Linked DNA regions of Tamandua tetradactyla. The protein of the gene in region 1 binds, or shares a complex with, the protein of each later gene. Links are inferred from orthologs where the notes say so. Each region holds a gene or a part of one and is shown on either strand. Other genes may lie near its edges.

The links.
Region 2: ALYREF (region 1) and MAGOH share a complex: the UniProt entries of both Homo sapiens proteins name them as parts of the ALYREF/THOC4-EJC-RNA complex. The link is inferred for Tamandua tetradactyla from reciprocal best matches to the Homo sapiens genes ALYREF and MAGOH.
Region 3: ALYREF (region 1) and THOC7 share a complex: the UniProt entries of both Homo sapiens proteins name them as parts of the transcription/export (TREX) complex. The link is inferred for Tamandua tetradactyla from reciprocal best matches to the Homo sapiens genes ALYREF and THOC7.

What each region holds. Positions count from the first base shown.
Region 1 is NC_135332.1:74,073,806-74,079,780, reverse strand, and holds ALYREF (THO complex subunit 4), read left to right. Parts: upstream 1-1,607; 5' UTR 1,608-1,706; coding exon 1,707-1,943; intron 1,944-2,441; coding exon 2,442-2,573; intron 2,574-3,996; coding exon 3,997-4,144; intron 4,145-4,638; coding exon 4,639-4,702; intron 4,703-4,807; coding exon 4,808-4,985; intron 4,986-5,082; coding exon 5,083-5,097; 3' UTR 5,098-5,404; downstream 5,405-5,975. Other genes in the region: ANAPC11 (anaphase-promoting complex subunit 11), read right to left, coding at 545-653. UniProt on the Homo sapiens protein: Functions as an mRNA export adapter; component of the transcription/export (TREX) complex which is thought to couple mRNA transcription, processing and nuclear export, and specifically associates with spliced mRNA and not with unspliced pre-mRNA.
Region 2 is NC_135328.1:168,391,824-168,397,798, reverse strand, and holds the start of MAGOH (protein mago nashi homolog), read right to left. Parts: upstream 3,056-5,975; 5' UTR 2,957-3,055; coding exon 2,869-2,956; intron 2,852-2,868; exon of another isoform or gene 2,496-2,851; intron 592-2,495; coding exon 533-591; intron 1-532. UniProt on the Homo sapiens protein: Required for pre-mRNA splicing as component of the spliceosome. Plays a redundant role with MAGOHB as core component of the exon junction complex (EJC) and in the nonsense-mediated decay (NMD) pathway.
Region 3 is NC_135341.1:20,810,008-20,815,982, forward strand, and holds the start of THOC7 (THO complex subunit 7), read left to right. Parts: upstream 1-2,164; 5' UTR 2,165-2,308; coding exon 2,309-2,327; intron 2,328-2,355; exon of another isoform or gene 2,356-2,502; intron 2,503-5,105; exon of another isoform or gene 5,106-5,241; intron 5,242-5,975. UniProt on the Homo sapiens protein: Component of the THO subcomplex of the TREX complex which is thought to couple mRNA transcription, processing and nuclear export, and which specifically associates with spliced mRNA and not with unspliced pre-mRNA.

The DNA.
Region 1 (5,975 bases):
TTTATACTTGAAAATACTTCAGCAAAGATGTTAAAAGACACTTCATCTTATGAGTGATTTTTCTATAAACTTACAACTTCTCTAATAAAAAAAGCCAACAAACCACATACCTACAAATGGCAAGTTTTATAATATAAGTTAAAACTCAATAAATCTGACTTTAAAATAGAAATAAAGGCTATTCATTGTTAATTCCCTGGCGTGGGTGGGAGGGGGAGGGGATAAGGGGGTGTTCCTTATGCTATTTTACCTTTTTTGCTAGTTTGTTTGAAATTTTCAAACTAAAAAGTCTTAGATCTGTTTTTGTCTTGTGTGTCTCATTGCTGAGTTTGATTACAATAAAATGCTGCACTGGCTTTTCTTATAAAACTTTTTTGCCTCGATCTTTATAAAAACATGGGCCCAAACTGCTTGCCTTTTTTTCCTGTCACCTTTTCTTCAGGAAAACAAAATTAAAACCCAGGGATTTTACCCAGGTACTTTCAGGAAACGACAATGTCAGGCAAGTAGGCTCAAACAGCACTGCCAAGAGGGAGGCACTCACAGTCGGGACAGCAGCCGTTGAAGGCCATCCGGCAGATGCCGCAGTTCTCGTCATTGGCCACCCAGAGCCAAGTGGCCACGCCGTTCCAGCACTTGATCTTCACCTTCATGGCTGTGATGGGAAGAGGGTTACCTTGGTGAATCCGGTCTACAGAGCTAGAACACTAAGGCTCCCAGGGCGTGCTTCTCCCAGCCAAGAGGGCCCGCGCTGCAGGGGAGCAGCCACCGGCCAAGGCCAAGGGGAGCGGAGTGCCTGGCTTTGCACCCGGGGTTTCTTAAAGGTTCCTTTAGCCGTGTCTTTAGGGGCCCAGAGGGAAAGAAAGCCCTGAAAAGGGGCCTCAGCTCGCGCTGGCAAGGAGGGCATCAGACTTGGGACCACGGCTTTGGAGAGTTTGGCTTTGCCTCGCGTTTACGGTAACTACGGAGACCTGGACATTCACGAAAGGGCTGCTGCTTTCCTTAACGCCCTGTAAACAGGTCACACGACACTTCCAAAAAGGACACAACTAACAAACAAATGACCGTGGCTAACTTGGGGGATGGAGCCCCAAACCGCGCACGCTGTGAGATTTTTAACTCTCGAAAAGGCACAAACAGACGCATGAGTCTGTACCCCCGACCCCCATACCTGCCCGGGGCAACCGCTAGGCCCTGAAAGACGAATCGCTGGAGACGGTCGGCCGGGCGGTCCCGTGAGAAACGGCGGGGAAACAAGCCGCGGTGCCCGCCGGGCATCCGGCTCAGGACGCGACCGAGAGCGCGGAGAGCTCGGGGGCGTCCCAGGGGCCCCGCCCCCAGCCCGAGGGACGGGCACGTCAGGCCCCGCCCCCAACGGCCCCCGCCCAACCCAGGACGCCCTCGCCCCTTCCCTAACCTAATCCTACGCAACGCGGCCCCGCCCGTCGGCCGTTGTGGCGCCAGCGTCCGCGCGGGAAGGTATAAAAACGACAGCAGCCGCAGCCCAGCACCAGTCGGGCTGAGGTCGCCGAGCTGTGCGCCTCGCTGCGCACGCGCCTCCCCGCCTCGCGCGACTAGCCGCTCGCCGTCAGCCAATCGACAGCGGCTCCGGGGCCGCGACTCCGGAAGTCCCCGCGCGGCGAAGGAAGTGACGCCCCGGCGTGCTGACGCGCGCGCTCGAACCGAGGCCCGATTCCGCGCCCGCCATGGCCGACAAAATGGATATGTCTCTGGACGACATCATTAAGCTGAACCGGAGCCAGCGAGGCGGCCGCGGCGGGGGCCGGGGCCGCGGTCGGGCCGGCTCCCAGGGCGGCCGCGGCGGCGGAGCGCAGGCCGCCGCGCGCGTGAATCGAGGCGGCGGGTCCATCCGGAACCGGCCGGCCATCGCCCGCGGCGCAGCTGGCGGCGGCGGCAGGAACCGGCCGGCGCCCTACAGCAGGGTGAGTGGACGCGAAGGCCACTGGGGTTGCGGGGCGCGGAGTGCGCTGAGGCCCGGCCCGGCAGGCCGCGGGAGCGCCGAGTGGAGAGGGCTGGCCCCGAGGCCTGGCAGCTGGTCCCGAAGCCGGCGGGTGTGGTAGACGCCGGGGAGGTCGCGCGGCCTGGGGTTGGCCCCGGGAGGCTCAGACCTTCTCAGCCTCTTTGTCTCATCCGGGCGCTGCAACCTCATGGCGGCTGGGAGCGGAGGGAACGCTGGGCGCGGCCGCACCGGCGGCGGGAAGTTAGTTGAAGGGAACCTGAGAAGTTGCGCGGAAGCGGCGGGACCGTCGGGGTCTCGGGCCGGGGCAGGGAGGGAAGGGCCAGAGGCCCCTTCTCGGCGATTTCTCCCAGGGCCCGGTTGAGGAAGGGAGCAGGATCTTGGGATGAGCCCTGAGGGCAAGGAAAAGCCCTAGAGTGAGACTCACCGGTCTTTTTCTGTTCTATGGGGTTTTCTCTTTCAGCCAAAACAGCTTCCCGATAAGTGGCAACACGATCTGTTCGACAGCGGCTTTGGAGGAGGTGCCGGCGTGGAGACCGGTGGGAAACTGCTGGTGTCAAATCTGGATTTTGGAGTATCAGACGCTGATATTCAGGTAAGAAACGGAAGCGTCTCCGTGAGTAGTTCACCTTGCACAGAACTAATCGTGTTTGTCATGGGCCCTGAATCCTGTTCCCGCCTTAGGAAAGGAAGCCCTCCCAGCTGCCCCAGAAATAGCCACTGCTTCCGTGTAAGGGGCTGCAGGAGAGACCCTGCCCAGCAGTGGTCAGGAAAAGTTGAAAGTTGAATAAGTGAATCAGTGTTTGTTAGAAGATAAGACCTTAGTGTATTAGTTTTTGCAAAAACGTGTTTTTGGTGTCTGAAAATCCCCTGCAGAGCTTTCTACTTCTGGCTGCTTGCTTTCCTTGTTTTGTTGCTGTTTTAATGATCTATTGGGAGAAGAATCCACACACACACACACACACACACACACACGTTTTAACTAACAAAGTACAGAAGTAGGGTCTTAGTGGTTTTTCAGCTCTGTTGGCCTTGAGGCTTTCTATCAAGTATGACTTGTGGCCCAGTGGTACCACCCCCACCCCGTCCCCTGCCGCTCCCCCCAGGTTTTGTCAGTGGTTTGGTTCTAAGCTCATCTTTGGTTGAAGACTGGTTTTTGTTTTTGTTTTTTGTTTTTTATTGAACCTAAAGGAATTTAAACTTGTTTTTCTGGTAAAGAAACAGTTTCTTGGGGATCAGTCTTGGAGATGGCTGGGTCAGGGTGCTGGGCCTTCCTGGGTTGCATCTCCCAGAGCATGGCCATTGGGCTTTGCCGTGGGAGGACGGAGCAAGGCCGGTGAGCACTCACAGTGTCTCAACACTTTTTTTAAGGTGGTTTCTGGCAGCCACTGGAAACCGCTTTTGGTGACTCCACTTCCCGCTGTGTGCCTGCGGCCGGAGTAGCCCCACACTCTGGGTTCCCTCTCCAACTCCCAGCCTGCCTGAGGTCAGGGCAGTTTCCATGGCAGCGCTTGACTTCAGACTTTGCGGCAGGCTTGAGTAGGAGGAGAGGGAAAGGTGAGCCAGAATCTGCCTTCGGGGGAGGGACTGGGGTTAGGGCTCCCAAATCAAGGGGCCCTTCAAGCTGTCCTGGAATGTTGGGCAGCTTCCCTTGCTGTGTGATCTAGGCCTTCGCTGTTTCTTGGAACAGTTCTTGGGAGAGTTGTAAATTTTCTTTTGTCAAAAAGGAGAGCGGCTTAATTTTGTGCCCTTCACTTGTGGGTTCCTGCAACTTCCTTTCCCTGCATCGAGTTATAGATTTCAAGTCCCTCAGTTGGCAGGAGCCCTCAGACCCAGGTGCTTTGGAAGTTGCTGTCCTACCCACCCCATCCCTTCCCCCAGTTCCCACTGCCCTGCCCCTGTGTACATGGCTGCCTCCCAGGGAAACACCCCCAAAGCAGATTTCACTTCCAGGGACCATCCCTGGGACACTAAAGGGAAACAGCTCTGCTTACGAGTCTGCTCTTTCCAATTCCCAGGAACTCTTTGCTGAATTTGGAACTCTGAAAAAGGCTGCTGTGCACTACGACCGATCTGGCCGGAGTTTAGGAACAGCAGATGTGCACTTTGAACGGAAGGCTGACGCTCTGAAGGCTATGAAACAATACAACGGTGTCCCTTTAGATGGTGAGTTTGGGTTTGGACCAGTATGGCTGCAGGGTTGTACACGAAGGGTAGAGTTTGGGGGTGGCACTTGTCCACGCAGGGATATGGCTGAGCTCTGTGGCCAGGGACGCTTTGCATTTGCCCCTTTGTCTCTTCCATTCTACTGCCTTGCATGCTGTCCCTTACATCTGGACATCCGGAAGTTCTGGGAAGCCTTCTCAGAACTGCCATAGTAAACTTCTGAATGCAGGTTGTAGTCTAGAGACAGAGGTACCATTTTCCTCGTCAGAACCCTCTTCCTCCCACCTAGACTGGGCTGAGAGCAAAGAGGAGGCCTTGGGGGGGTTGTTTTTATTGCCTTTTTGTTCCCCTACCAGTATTTCCAGGTCATTCCCTTGTTGGAAGTGTTTGACACAGCACAAGAACCCTTTGCAGTGCTTGCATGAAGACCAGGTAGGGCACCCTCAGATTAGGCATGACCTCTATCTGGCAACTGTGCTCTTTGTTTGCTGTAGGCCGCCCCATGAACATTCAACTCGTCACATCACAGATTGACACGCAGCGGAGACCTGCACAGAGGTGAGTTCTGGGGCCCATGGAGCAGTGGGGGTAGGCCTATGGCATATGGTGGTGTCCATCCTTGGGGCCTGACCGAGTGTGAGCAACTCCTCTGTTCCTCGTCAGTGTAAACAGAGGCGGAATGACGCGAAGCCGTGGCTCTGGAGGTTTCGGAGGTGTCGGTGGCCCTCGGAGAGGCACCCGCGGAGGCAGCCGGGGAAGAGGCAGAGGAGCTGGCAGGAGTTCAAAACAGCAGCTTTCTGCGGAGGAGTTGGATGCCCAGTTGGATGCTTATAATGCCCGAGTAAGTCCAGGGGTGTGTGTACAGGGAGGGAGCAGCCCAAGCGAGGCTGGGAAATGGGGACTGCTTCCCAGTGACAACCTCTCCTGTTCTGTTTCAGATGGACACCAGCTGAGCAGACCCCAAGTCCGTGCGTGGAGCAGGCCCCGACGGCTCATCCGCATGCCCCGGAGTGGGGGGCGGAGGGCTGTGTGCAGCCATGGATTTGTTTCTTTTATGTTTTAAAGTAGGATTTAAAGCTCATGTAAAGGTTGTTGTTTTTTGTTTGTTTTTTTTTCCTTTTCTTTTTTTTTTAAATTCTGAAACAGACCTGTTTTGTACTGAGTTATTTTTGGGATAAATTTTACTGGTTGCTGTTGTGGAGAAGGTGGCGTTTTCACCTTTGCCATAATAATAAAATGGAAATGTGTGTAGAGCTGGAATGGTTTTGTTGTGCCGTTGTTGGGTGCTCCCCTGGGCCAGAGGCCCGGGGTCTGCCCGGGTGGGGTGGGGTGGAGCTGGGTGGGGAGAGGCAATCCTATCTGACATTTTGGCACCTTGGCCTGGGGGTTAGAGTTTGTGCTCCAGGAGAATTTTATCTTGACACTCTCCTGTTTCTGCTCCTGCTGTTCTTAAGTCCTCTCTAACTCAGTGGGTGGGAGGACCCAGAGCAGTAGCAGTCCTTTACCTGGAGTTACCTGTCATTGCACCTGCACCTAGAGGTGAGGGCATGGGACAGGGGGCAGAGCACCTGTGTTTTCCACAGATTTCAGGGCACTAGGGTGGACCTTTCTTTTTCCTTGTGTTTGTGTCCTCAAACCTGAATTCACCATCCTAACCTCATAATGTCCGATTGTGTTCCCTGCTGTTTTCTGCATTGCTGCGGTGCAAGGTATAAGGGTGTTCCTTCTCTTAATCGTGTTTTTGGTAAGGTGGTCGCTGGGAAGCTCATGGAAGCTGTGGCAGAATCGAAAATCAAATTTGACCAACAGAACAGTGACAGGGCGTCAGGCA
Region 2 (5,975 bases), on another chromosome or scaffold:
CGGACTTACAATCAGCGTTAAATAAGTTCCTTCATGTAAAATACCTAGCTCCATGCCTGGCATCTAACATGTATTCAACGAATGTTAGCTGCTTTACCATGTTCCCTGTCATTTCAAATTCAAATTCAACAGTATCTCTCTCTACTGAGTATATGTGTCAAGAAATATATGAAGCACTTTAAGTTTAATGTATTTAATTCTCTGTCAGAGCTGGGGATGGATGAGTTCTATTAACCTTGTTTTTGCAGATGAAGAAACTGAGACTTGAGTTCAGCCAGGAAACTTGCCAAGGTCACATGTTTAGTAAGAAACAGGTTCAGGGTTCAAACCAAGATCTGCCAGACTCCATGATGACCAGTAACTGATTCTACACTGTGAATGAAAGCATAAACTAAAGGAATATCTGAGAAGGAATTGAGAAGCTGCCTACAGTTGTGTCTACTTCCCAGTTCTTTATCTTTCAATATTACTTCCAGAAAGAACAAAAATAACACAAGGAAAAGTCTCTACTGTAGTGAATGAAGGTTCATACCTCTTTTCTGATCATGACATCATTTTTGTAATTGCTGTTATTGGCATATCTCAATTTCCCTGTGAGGGGCAAAAAAAACAAATTCAATGTACAATTAAAAATAAATAGCCTACCAAGATTATCACTTGTTGCTTAAAATGTACCCTAACTTTCCCTTCAAATTGTCTAAGAAATTTACTATTTACACCTTGTGTTTCAACAATGCTAGTCTTTTCAGTTCCTCACTTTAGGCTATTAAACATCCTCACAGCCAAAAATATGGCTGACATTGAACTATATTTCTTGCAAAAGACAGCTCAAGTGTGGGAAAAGAACATAGCAGGGGTGGTTCAGTGGTAGAATGCCTGCCTTTCATGTGGGGGACCTGGGTTCGATTCCTGGGCCATGCACCAAAACAAAACAAAAAACCACACAAAACATGGCAGGCTCTTTTGTGATCGTGGGTAAAGGACAGCTCTGTGAAAATAGGAACATAATTGATAAAATATCTGACTCAGGGCTTCCTGAGGCGCAAATGAGTTGTGAAAGCATTTTGAAAAATGTAAAGGCTGTTTTTATACATTATCAGATGACTGTACAACACTGAACTATTCCTGTAATATAAAAGTTGCGCTTTTATAACTGAGCACATTTGGTTTACATGCCCTTGGTGAGCCTCCACATGTACATCCAACAATCTGATCTGGGTATATGGTGGGGAATGAAAGAGAAGATAAAAGGAAATAGAAGACATTATTTTTTTACCTAATAGAGGGCACATATTAAAAAAAGCCAAATTATTCTAATGGCCTCTGTACTGTCTCTCTGCTTCGAGTCTCTTTCTTTCAGTTCGGAGCCCAAGTGATCTAGTAACAGACCTATACGAATAGGTTACTCTGATACTTCAATGGATCCCCACAGCTTTCCTGATAAAATCCAAACTCCTCAGCATGGCATACTGTCAATGTGTGTGCCCACCTACTTTTCCAACCTCAATCCTGCAATATTCCTCTCTCCCATAGCTGGGGAGTCAACCAAACTGCTTGGGTTCTATTTGAAACATTACATGTCCTTTTTGATTTTCAACCTCTTGACTGATAATGCTGTCCAAAATGCCTTACTGATTCTTGTCTGCCTAACCAACTCCTACATATTCCTAAATACTCACTCCACTCCCCTCAAGCTACACTTCATTTACAATGCCTTTCCTGACCTTCAGGGCACTTGCTTACGTGCCCTCTCTCTGCTCCCAGGTCTCCACTATCTTTATATCACAGTACCTAAAACAGTACTTTCTCACCATCTTCAACTCTATCTCCCTCAAAATCAGGACTTCGCAGGTTCATCTTTCTTCTACCATTTAGTAGAAGTTTTGGTATCTTTGATACCTTTCTTTCACTTCAGTGCCCACTCCCCAAATTCTTTCAGCGAAGTCTCAGTTGGTTCTGCTTCCAACAGTATCCTAAATGCTTCTCTCCAGTTCTACTACCACCCCGGTCCCAACTGATAACCTTTCGTCTTGACAATTGTAACTGTCTCCTAGTAAGCAGCCCTGTTTCCACTTTTGCCCATTTTGCATCCAACAATGAATACTCTTTTCAAAAACAGAACAGATCACATCACTTCCCTGCTTAAAACTTTCCAACTGTTTTCTGCCGCATTTACAATAAAATCCAATATGGCTTACGTGATGTGGCCGCTATCTCACATCACCTCATGCTATTTTCCTGGGAGCTTACTATTCTTCAGTGACACTGGTCACTTGAAACATGCCTAGCTCATTTCCTACAGCCTTGGCACTTTCTACTCCCTGTCTACAATGCCTTTGCTCCTGAGCTTCACAGCACTGATTCATTCTTGCCACTCAGACCTCAGTTCAAATTATCCTTTCTTCAGAGAGCACTCCAATGGCCACCCTATCTTAAAGCAACTCATCCAGTAATTAGTCTTTTTGCTTTATTTTTTTCTGACCGCTCATCACTACCTGGAATCTTCTTTTTTGCTTGTTTGTGATCTGTCTCTAGCACTAGAATATAAATGCTGAGAGAGTATGCTTGTCCATCTTCTTCACTGCTGTATCCCCAGAGAGCGGAAAAAAGCCTGGCACAAAGGGAGCATTCAGTGTTTGTTAAATGAAAGCACTCTGGTCAAACATGTTTCTAAACAGGAGTCCTTGCATATGGATAGAAAGATATGGAACCAGTGGAATCGGCACAGGAACGTTCCTTTCAGGTCCGCGCTATACAGGTCTTAGTCCCTCGCTCCTCTCATTCACCGCACATTTCCGACTCTTAGGCCTCCTCACTCCCCCGCCCCAGGCCTAGTACCCGCTCCCCACTGCGCCAGGCCGCTCTTACCGTCAGGTCGGAACTCAAATTCCAGAAACTCGTGGCCGAACTTGCCCTTGTGACCCACATAGTAACGCAGATAAAAGTCACTCTCCATGGCTCATAAAAGGCCACGGAGACTGAACTTACATAGCAAACAGCGCGGCGGCTGTACGCGACCAACACTGACGTTCGGCGGCGCGGAGAAGTGACGTCACGACAACGCCGTCGCGAGAGCAAGGGATCCCTCCCTGCCCGTACCCGCGAGAACAAGGCTGCGGCGTCCCTTTCTCCCAGAGGCGGAAACAAGGCTGCCTCGCCCCTCCCGTTCGGGGGCGGGGTCAAGGCTTCCCTCCCGTCCCCACCCCCGTAACCCGGAAGCGCCTGCCGTGGTTTTCCTTAGTTCTGGGTTTGTTCGAATTCTCCAGAGGGAGTCTGGAATCTCGCTGTGAGGCCAAGACTCGTCGCCAGGAGCTCTCCGGCCTGAATCCCTCCTAGTCCTGCACCCCCCTCCAGGCCTAACCCCCGACCTTGTGTGAGTCAGGCAAGCTCTTCATTGTCTCTGGACATAGGTCTTCTCAACAGTAAAATGGGGTTAAATGCTCCCATCTCACAGAACCCGGGAGAGGACCGCCGCGAATGATGTTTGTGTCTAAAGTCAGCCTCGACTGAACTTTGCTGTTTAAACATCAATTCAAGAAAACCGTTCTCTGTAACGCTTTCTCTGAATCCATAGTGGAGATTGCCATCTCTCTGGAACTAACCCCCCCCCGCCCCCCACAGTTGGTTATCCTTCATTTTACGCTTTTCTAACTTATTATGAATGTTTAATTGTCCCCTGGTCTCTATAGTAGGTTCTGTGAGTAAAAGTTAAATTGAATATTTTGATCTTCCACTCCTCGGTCCTCTGTGTACTGCTTATCCAACAGTGATTCTCAGCCCTGGCCGCCCATTAGAGTCATTGAGGAGCTAGAAAACATACTGATACCCAGACCCCACCCCAAACCAATGAAATAAATCCTCTAAGGATGTATATGGGCATTGGTGAGTCAGGGTTGAAGACCACAGCGTTAGAGAATGCTACATTTGCAAATGTCCTTTGGGGGCACTAAAAATAACTTTGTGCAGTTATTTCACCATTTTGGGATCGTCTCATCTGTAAAATGGGGCGAATAATATTGATAATATTTATCTCACAGATTGTCAAAGACTGAGATAATGTAAAACACGTGTTACACAACAGGGGCTCAGTGTTAGTCCACTCCCCCCTCATTAAAACATCACAATGAAACAATGCTTCCAGATTTTAAAAAAAATGAATTTAATCTTTCTAGAAACAGGGCACTGATTTTACAAATGTTCACATTTGGTTTTCAGTTCATCAGGATAATTCCAGTACAGCTAGTGAAATGCAGCACACCACCCTCAGTCCCTTTGCCTCTGGAAGAGAAACCAGACTGCACTGAGCACAGAAGGTAACCAAACTTGGAATGACAAAGTGAAAAGAGCAGAAATGGTTAGGGCAACCCAACATTCTAACATGCCTGTCACATCAAAGACAGTAATTTGGGTGGGGAAGATAAAGACAAACAAGGAAAATCCATTGGGCACAATGTGATGGAGTTTGCAAACCAGTACTTCACCCTCAAAATAACAGCAGCTTGTATAGAACAAAACACTATGTTAAAGTAGACGGTTTGTACAGGTATGCTTTCTCTTGTAGTTTTTGTAAAAAAGTATCAAAACCTTCACATCTTTAAATATATATACAGGTGGCTTTTTTCTTTATTACTTTTTATAGCACAAAGTGTTTGCAAATGCAGAGGGTTTCTGCTGATTCTTGACTGTGCACATGGTGCATAGCCTGAATGAACAAAGCTTCCTGATTTCTTATAGTAACTGAAAAATTGAAGCTTTTAATTCTTCCACTTTCTAAATTCGCCATACCCTGAAAATCCCATATACCCTAAAAAATACAGTGAGAAGACTCTGATATTCTACCTTCATGCATTGATGAGAAAGGAAATTATTTAACCTGCAACTGTTATACTAACTCATTTACATTCTATGACATGAGAGTATGGCTGGATTTAGGTGGTAGAGGAGGTAGGTTCACTTTAGTGTACCCTTCCCCCATTCCCACTAGCTTGTGACTGGAGAATGACTGGCATCCCCTCTCCAGACTCCACGCCTTCAAACTCCCAGTTTTCTTTTTTCGTGGTTGAGAAAATCTCAGAGGCTTTTAATAAGATGGAATATTTCTGTAAAAATCCCACTGCCCTTATATTAGTTCTCATTGACCTCATCAAAACACTGACTCAAATATATGAAAAGCAGTCAAGATTTCCCTTTGGCCATTAGAAAGCTTGAGGCTGAACACTGTCACATCTGCAAAGTGCTGGCAGTACATCCTGGTGAATTGTCCTTGATACACTTGGTGCCTCATACACAATCAAGGATCAAAAAGCCTTGCTTAATTGAATCAGAAACTAAATAGTATTTTATAAAGTGCTTACACTGAACCTGTTTTTCCATCCAGCCTCATTTCATGCTAAATTTCCCTTGAGCTTTATGCTCCAGCTAGAATGAACAGGTACAATTCCTTAACAATTCCAAGATGTTACATGCATCTGTCTTAGCTCAGTGTTTCCTCTGTCTGAAGCAGCCTGGACACTCCTACTGAACTTTTAAGACTTAGCTTAAGGACACTTCTCCTATAATGCCATTCTTGATCCCATTTCTCAGTTCCCCGGGTAGAAATGTCCATTTTCCCCTTTGTGTCCCAACAGTACTCTAAATACAATCTATCACTTTTGTTTTCACATGTGCCTTTCCTTACTGTGACTCTGAGCTCCATAAGGACAAGGATGAATTGTTCTTTATGTTCTGGCTTAGTGCCCAGCACACAGTTGGTACCTAGCAAATAGTTTAAAGTGAATGAACATATTGTAATTACACAGAGCCAGAGGGATCAATAGTACTTACTGCCATTGACTTAAATTCCATCTCATCCTCTTTTTGCCAGGTGAAGTTACAGGCTATCTCAACCTGTTTTATTAAAAATCATACTAGTTTGCCCTGTTTCTGGAAGGCCATTTCTGCCCATGCCTTCAGAATTCCACTGGACAGATAAGCCT
Region 3 (5,975 bases), on another chromosome or scaffold:
AATTCATAACCGATAATATGAAAAGGCCACTTCTAAAATTTCCTAGTTGTTCCCTCACTATATATGATGTGAAGGAAGGGCAATTACAAAAGGTCTTAAATGGTCAAAACAAAGCTCTGTGTCCATACATCTATGAGTTAAGTTATGTGGCTGACAAAACAGGTAGTTAAAAATTCATAACAGTTCAAATTATGATGTGCTTCCCACTACGTGAGTCAAGAACTTTCAAGAATATTTATTTTCAGAAATACCTCAAACTTCAGTCTCTCCAATTAATCTCGTTACTTTAGAAAATTACTAACACTATTCAACAAAATTATAAGCCACAAAATGAACTTATAAATGTTTGACCAGGACTCCATCTACAAATGACTGGTTCACGAAATATTAACAGTTACAGGAAACAAGTGATATGTTCCTATAAAAACATTAAAGATTATTTTAAATCTCTAGATAATGTTTCAAAATCAGTATTATGATCAGATCAAGTAACAAGTCACTTAAAATTTAACACATTATAACACCATTTGACAATTACCTTTTCAACAATAACCATCATTAAAATGCCACTCAGGACAGACAGATAGTCAACTGACACTTCCAATTTACAGTCTGTAGTACTTAAGATTTCAAACAAGCTATTCTGTGGGTTAGCATGTCCTCTCTCCTAAAATCAAAGAACTGAACAGACTTACGCCAATTATTATTTAAAGCCAGAGGTTTCACATCCTAACGGTCAAGTTAAAACCTCAGAATCTTCACTCAATGTAATTCTTGCCTTTGTGCCAAAAGTTGAAGGCCCTAACTCTTGAGAGCATTATAAATGGCATTACTGAAGTTTCTGGCCTGAAATACATGAAAAAAATGTTACATATACTGATTTCTACCTAGAGGTAAAAGGCACTTCACTGCCATACATTTGCATTTAACGATTCTTCCTTTTCGAAAAAACTGAGGGGAAATGAAGAGTATGAATCCAACTTTAGTAAGGAAAGGAAACAGCAAAATTTATCCTGCGCCAACTGCTTCATCCTCAGATAAAGAGACAGGGAGCTTGGGAGGTAAGAATATTGGAAAATAATGATATGGCTTATTTAACATGTCAAACCTGGGTTCAAAACTCAGACATGCTTCTTGTGGTTAACTGTTCTCTATTCCACTGGAGGTCAAGAATCCGCTTTATCGGTGCCTGTTCCCTGACCGGCCTCTCTCACCAAGTAAATGTTGGAATTTACCGCAAACTCATTCAAGTTGAATCAAAGTGACTCTGGGAAGAGATGTCAGTATAATTTGCCGTGTACTCCGGAAATGTCTAACTCTACACACAAGGCAATATTTCTCATTGACACTCCCCCTACCCCTACACTTAAAACTTCCCCCTTAAGACGAGGACAGCCAGCGAGACAATTTTTTGAAAATTAAAGAAAATATAAATAAATAAATACATGCACCCTATCCAGATCACCGACGAGATTCTGGCTCTGTTGCGGAACTGCGTGCGGGTGCGGGATGGCAACCACGCAACGATCCTAGTCAGTCGGCAGAACTCCTCCGGAGGACAAGTTTCTCCGTCCTTTTTCCCAGCACCGGCCCGAGCCCAGGGAGGAAAGGGGTTGCAGCAGGGACCCGACCGCCCTACCTGGAACCCTGGGCCTTTCGTGATCTCCAGCCGCGCCCGGTGCAATCCCTACGCTTGAGACCCGCCCGGGCGTGCGTGGGCGCCAACTTCGGCGAGACCCTCGCGCCGCGCCCCCCTCGGTGCCTCGCCCAGCTCCAGCGCTCCCCGTCCCGCCGCCCTCCCCACCTCACCCCAGGAAGCGAGCGCACCCCCCGCAACAGCCTGGACGGGGTGGGGGAAGCAGGGTCCACTTCTCCCAGAATGCTAGAGGGGCCGCACCCCGACCCCAGTAGTCCCGGCGCGCCCCCGCAGCCCGGGCGGCGCCCGGACTGGCTCACCTGGCGGCTGGCTGCGGCCTCCGGAGCGGCCTCTGGGCGTGGGCCGGGAGGGGGCAGAGAGGGGGGCGGCGGGGGCTGGGACTCCAGCCGGGGCCGCCGCCGCCCGCCTGGCCTAGCCCGCACACGCGCCGGCCGCGGCAGCTCCCGGGGGGTACCGGGAGCGCGGGGAGCGCGGGTCCCGCGGCGGCGGCGGCGCGGCTCAGGCGTCGGAGCTGGCGGCCGCAGGCGCCGCCGCCTCCTCCTCCATGGCTGTTTACCCGGCTGCATTGTGGGAGTTTGACCTCCGCCGCCGCCAACCGCCGCCTCAGCTTGCGCCGCCGCCGCCGCCGCCGCCGCCGCCGCCGCGCACGCCATGGGAGCCGTGACTGACGGTGAGGCCGGTTCGCCACCACCTGGGCCCACTCCCCGGAGTCCTTCGGTCTCCGTGGCCGCTTCCGGGAGTTCTTCGGCCTCCCGGGTCGGACCCCTCGGAGACCCTGGCCTCCAGGCCTCTCCCCGGAGCCTCTCGGCCTGATCTCCCCGGAGGCGGCGCCGGGCGTGAAGAGGGTGTGCTGGGAAGGTCGTCGGGGGATAAGAGTACACATGGGGGCCGAGGAGGCTGGGAGCTGTGTGTGGGCTGGTGGTACCGGGTGGGGTCCGGGTTGAAGAAGGATGTGGTAAGGGAGCATTGACGGGGTAAGGTAGGTTCACGGAGCGCCGAAGTGGAGGGTGGAGGGAGTTGGTGAAAGGCTTGATACCACGGGTCCCGGAAGGCCTGTGGGGGGAATGGGAGGATGTGGGAGCTCCAGGGATAGGGCGGGGGCTTCTGGGCAACCTGGGAAAGAGGGGTGGGTTCCAGGTCATGGGTATTAGGGACGTCTGGATACAGAGGGTGACACGTGGAGGAAGGAGTTTTCTGGGCAGATCGGAACGGCCCCCAGACAATGGATCGCAATGAGATCTGGGAACTGCATGTGAATTTGGGGTGGAGAGGGGGAGATGGGAACATCAGCTAAAAGGGATATGTGAATGGAATATCTGGAGGGCAATCAGGGAATACTTGGGAGCTATGAGAGGCAAACAGCAGATATACAGATGAGGGCACCTACGGTAGATCAGGATAGTAAAGGATGTATGTGTGTCTTGGAGAGGGGAGGTTTGCCAGCTGAATGGATGTGGTGGGGGAGGCAGAGGCTGGGTTCGTGGACAGTTGTGAGGGCAATTTAGGAAAGTGGATCAATTTAAGACGGATCCGGGGGCCATCTACACAGGGAGAGCAGAAATAAGGTAGCACCTTGGGAAAGAGTTGAAACAGGTATGGTGGGCAACTGGGTGGAGCACTCTGGAAGGTATCTGGTTATGGTAGTCCTTTGACATGTGGGATGGGAAATCAGGGGGCCTTTTTAAGGGGACTTAGAAAGGCCCCTTCTGAAAAGTTGGGTACAGTTTAAGGGGCTAGCAATAGAAAGAAGAATGATGAACCCAAATTTGTAGACATTGTAGAGAGTGGTGGAAGTGGGGGGGGCTATGAAAGGTTCAGGAACTTCATGAGGGAGTTTCAACTTTGCTTCTTTTCACTTTCATTTATTCAGTAGATATTTATCCTGCTTGGGCTAGGCTTTAAGATTACAGCCAGAACCAAGAGGCAAGACCTTTTCCCCCTCTTAGAGGTTACATTCAAGTGGGAAAGACATGTGGAATGATTTTTTGGGGGGGAATGGGGGGAGCTGCATGGTCCAGGGATCAAACCTGGGTCTCCCACATGAGATGTGAGCATTCTAACCACTGAACTACCCATGCACCCAGACACATGGAATAATTTTTAAAGGTGGTAAATGTTACTACAGGAGAAGTACAAAATTCGGAAGTATAGAAGCATGTAACAAAAATTGCTTATCCATTCTGGAACATCAGAAAGTCCCTCTCAAAAAGTTATTCTTCATCCCACTGTTAAAGGATAAATACATGTAGTTGGGGGAAAGTGTTCCAGGTGGGGAACCACTTGTGCACAAGCCCCCAAAGTGTTGGAAGAACACCACAATTACTTGTAATGGCCAGAATTTAGAAGCCGTAAAAGTTTTTACACTGGAGTAGTGTGATCAGATTTGCATTTTGTAAAACAACACTCCACTATGAAGAATGGTGAAGGCAAGGGAAAGTGAGGAGCTAAATTAACTCTGTCCTCTCTAACATTTATATAGTATTCATTCCATGTGCCAAGCAGTGTTCTAATTATTTTTCCCACTTTACAAATGAAACTGGGACACAAAGAGGCTATAACTTGCCCAAGGTCACTGGTAGTAAGTTATAGAGCCAGGATTCAAAACTACATAGTCCAGCTCCTGAGTTCTTGCACTTCACTGTTATGTATCCTGTCTTGTAGCTACTGGCAAGAGGTCATGGGGACACAGGCCAAGATAGTCATCAAGGAAATGCAAAGAATTTACAGGTGGGACAGATATTTATGAGGTAGAAGTCAGGACTTAAGTGATCGGGTGGGTGTGAGGGGAGGAGTCAAGGATGACCCCAGTTTCTAGCTTGAGTAATTGTGTGCTTGTTAGTGTTACTTCTCTCTTGAGGTAGAGAACTGCAAAGGAGAGATAGGTTTCGTCAGACAGAAGGGGAGGGAAGATGAATTCTAGTAAACATGCTGAAGCTGTCAAGTACCCCCCACCTTCTTGGAGGCAACAGGAATCCCCCACTCTGCCACTTCCAGGTAGTCTGGCTGTGGGCACGTTAATTAACCTCTGAGCCTTAGTTTCATTTTCTGTGAATGGGGATAAAAAAAAATCTGTCTCTTAAAGTTGTTTGAGGATTAAATGCAGTAAAAACTGTAAACGGCTTTCCATGGAGTTTTATTGAACATTACTATTATTGAACAATAATAGTAATGTTCAATTAATGTTATTAAATATAAGAATTGGTTTATTTATCTCTCCTTCCACTTTCCTTTGATGAGAACTGTGCCTTCTCCGTCTCCTTGTCTGCACAGATTGCCCTCCCCTGCCTTTTCTGCCTGGTGAAATTCCATTTATTCTTCAAGACCCACCTCAGATATCCCCTCTTCTCTTTTCCAGAACCCGTTGGTTTCTTACCTACTAACTACATTACTTTATGAATATTACTATTATGAACTTCCATCCTTAATTTACTGACATGCCTTATTCCAGAAAATATTTAAAGTAGAGCACCATAATGAGGAAACATAAAAGCAACATAAATGGATGAGGAAGCAGCAAAAGGAACATTGAGACTAGGAAAAACAAGAGGAAGTCATAAGTGGAAGTAATCTTCAAAACACATGAGGTAAATTCTGGGACATTAAGAAAGCTGCAGGGCGGGCCGCGGTGGCTCAGCGGGCAAGAGTGCTTGCCTGCCATGCCGGAGGACCCCGGTTCGATTCCCGGCCCCAGCCCATGTAAAAAACAAACAAACAAACAAAATATAATAAAAACAAGAAAATGTTTAAAGATGTTTCCCTTTCTTCCTCCCTTCCTTCCTTCCTTCCTTCTCTGTCTTTCCTTCCCTTCCTCCCTCTCTCTTTAAAAAAAAAAAAAAAAAAAGAAAGCTGCAAATGATTCTTACCTTTCTTTTCCATCTCAACCACTCCCAAGCATATCACTCAGTGGGATTAGTCATATTATGTTGCAGAACCCTCACTACCTGCCATTACTAAATTTTTCCCACTTGGCAAACACAAACCCTATACCCATTTTGCATTTCCTCCTCATTACCCCTACTAACCACCACCACCCATGCTCCGCAACCTGTACTCTACTTTCTGTCTCCATGACCTTGCATATTCTCAGATATTGTCTTTGTAGTTGCCATGGGACTTAAGTTTAACAACCAAAATCTGTAACAATCTCTTTGATACAACTTAATGTTAATAGTAAAAACTGTGTTCCTATACTCTCTGTCTCCTCACCTTTATGTAGGTCTTACCACAAATTACCTGTTTATTGAGTCCAAAACCCTTGATTTTGCCTTACATTTTATGCATTGCCTTTTAGATCCTGTAAGAAGTGAAAAGTGGAGTT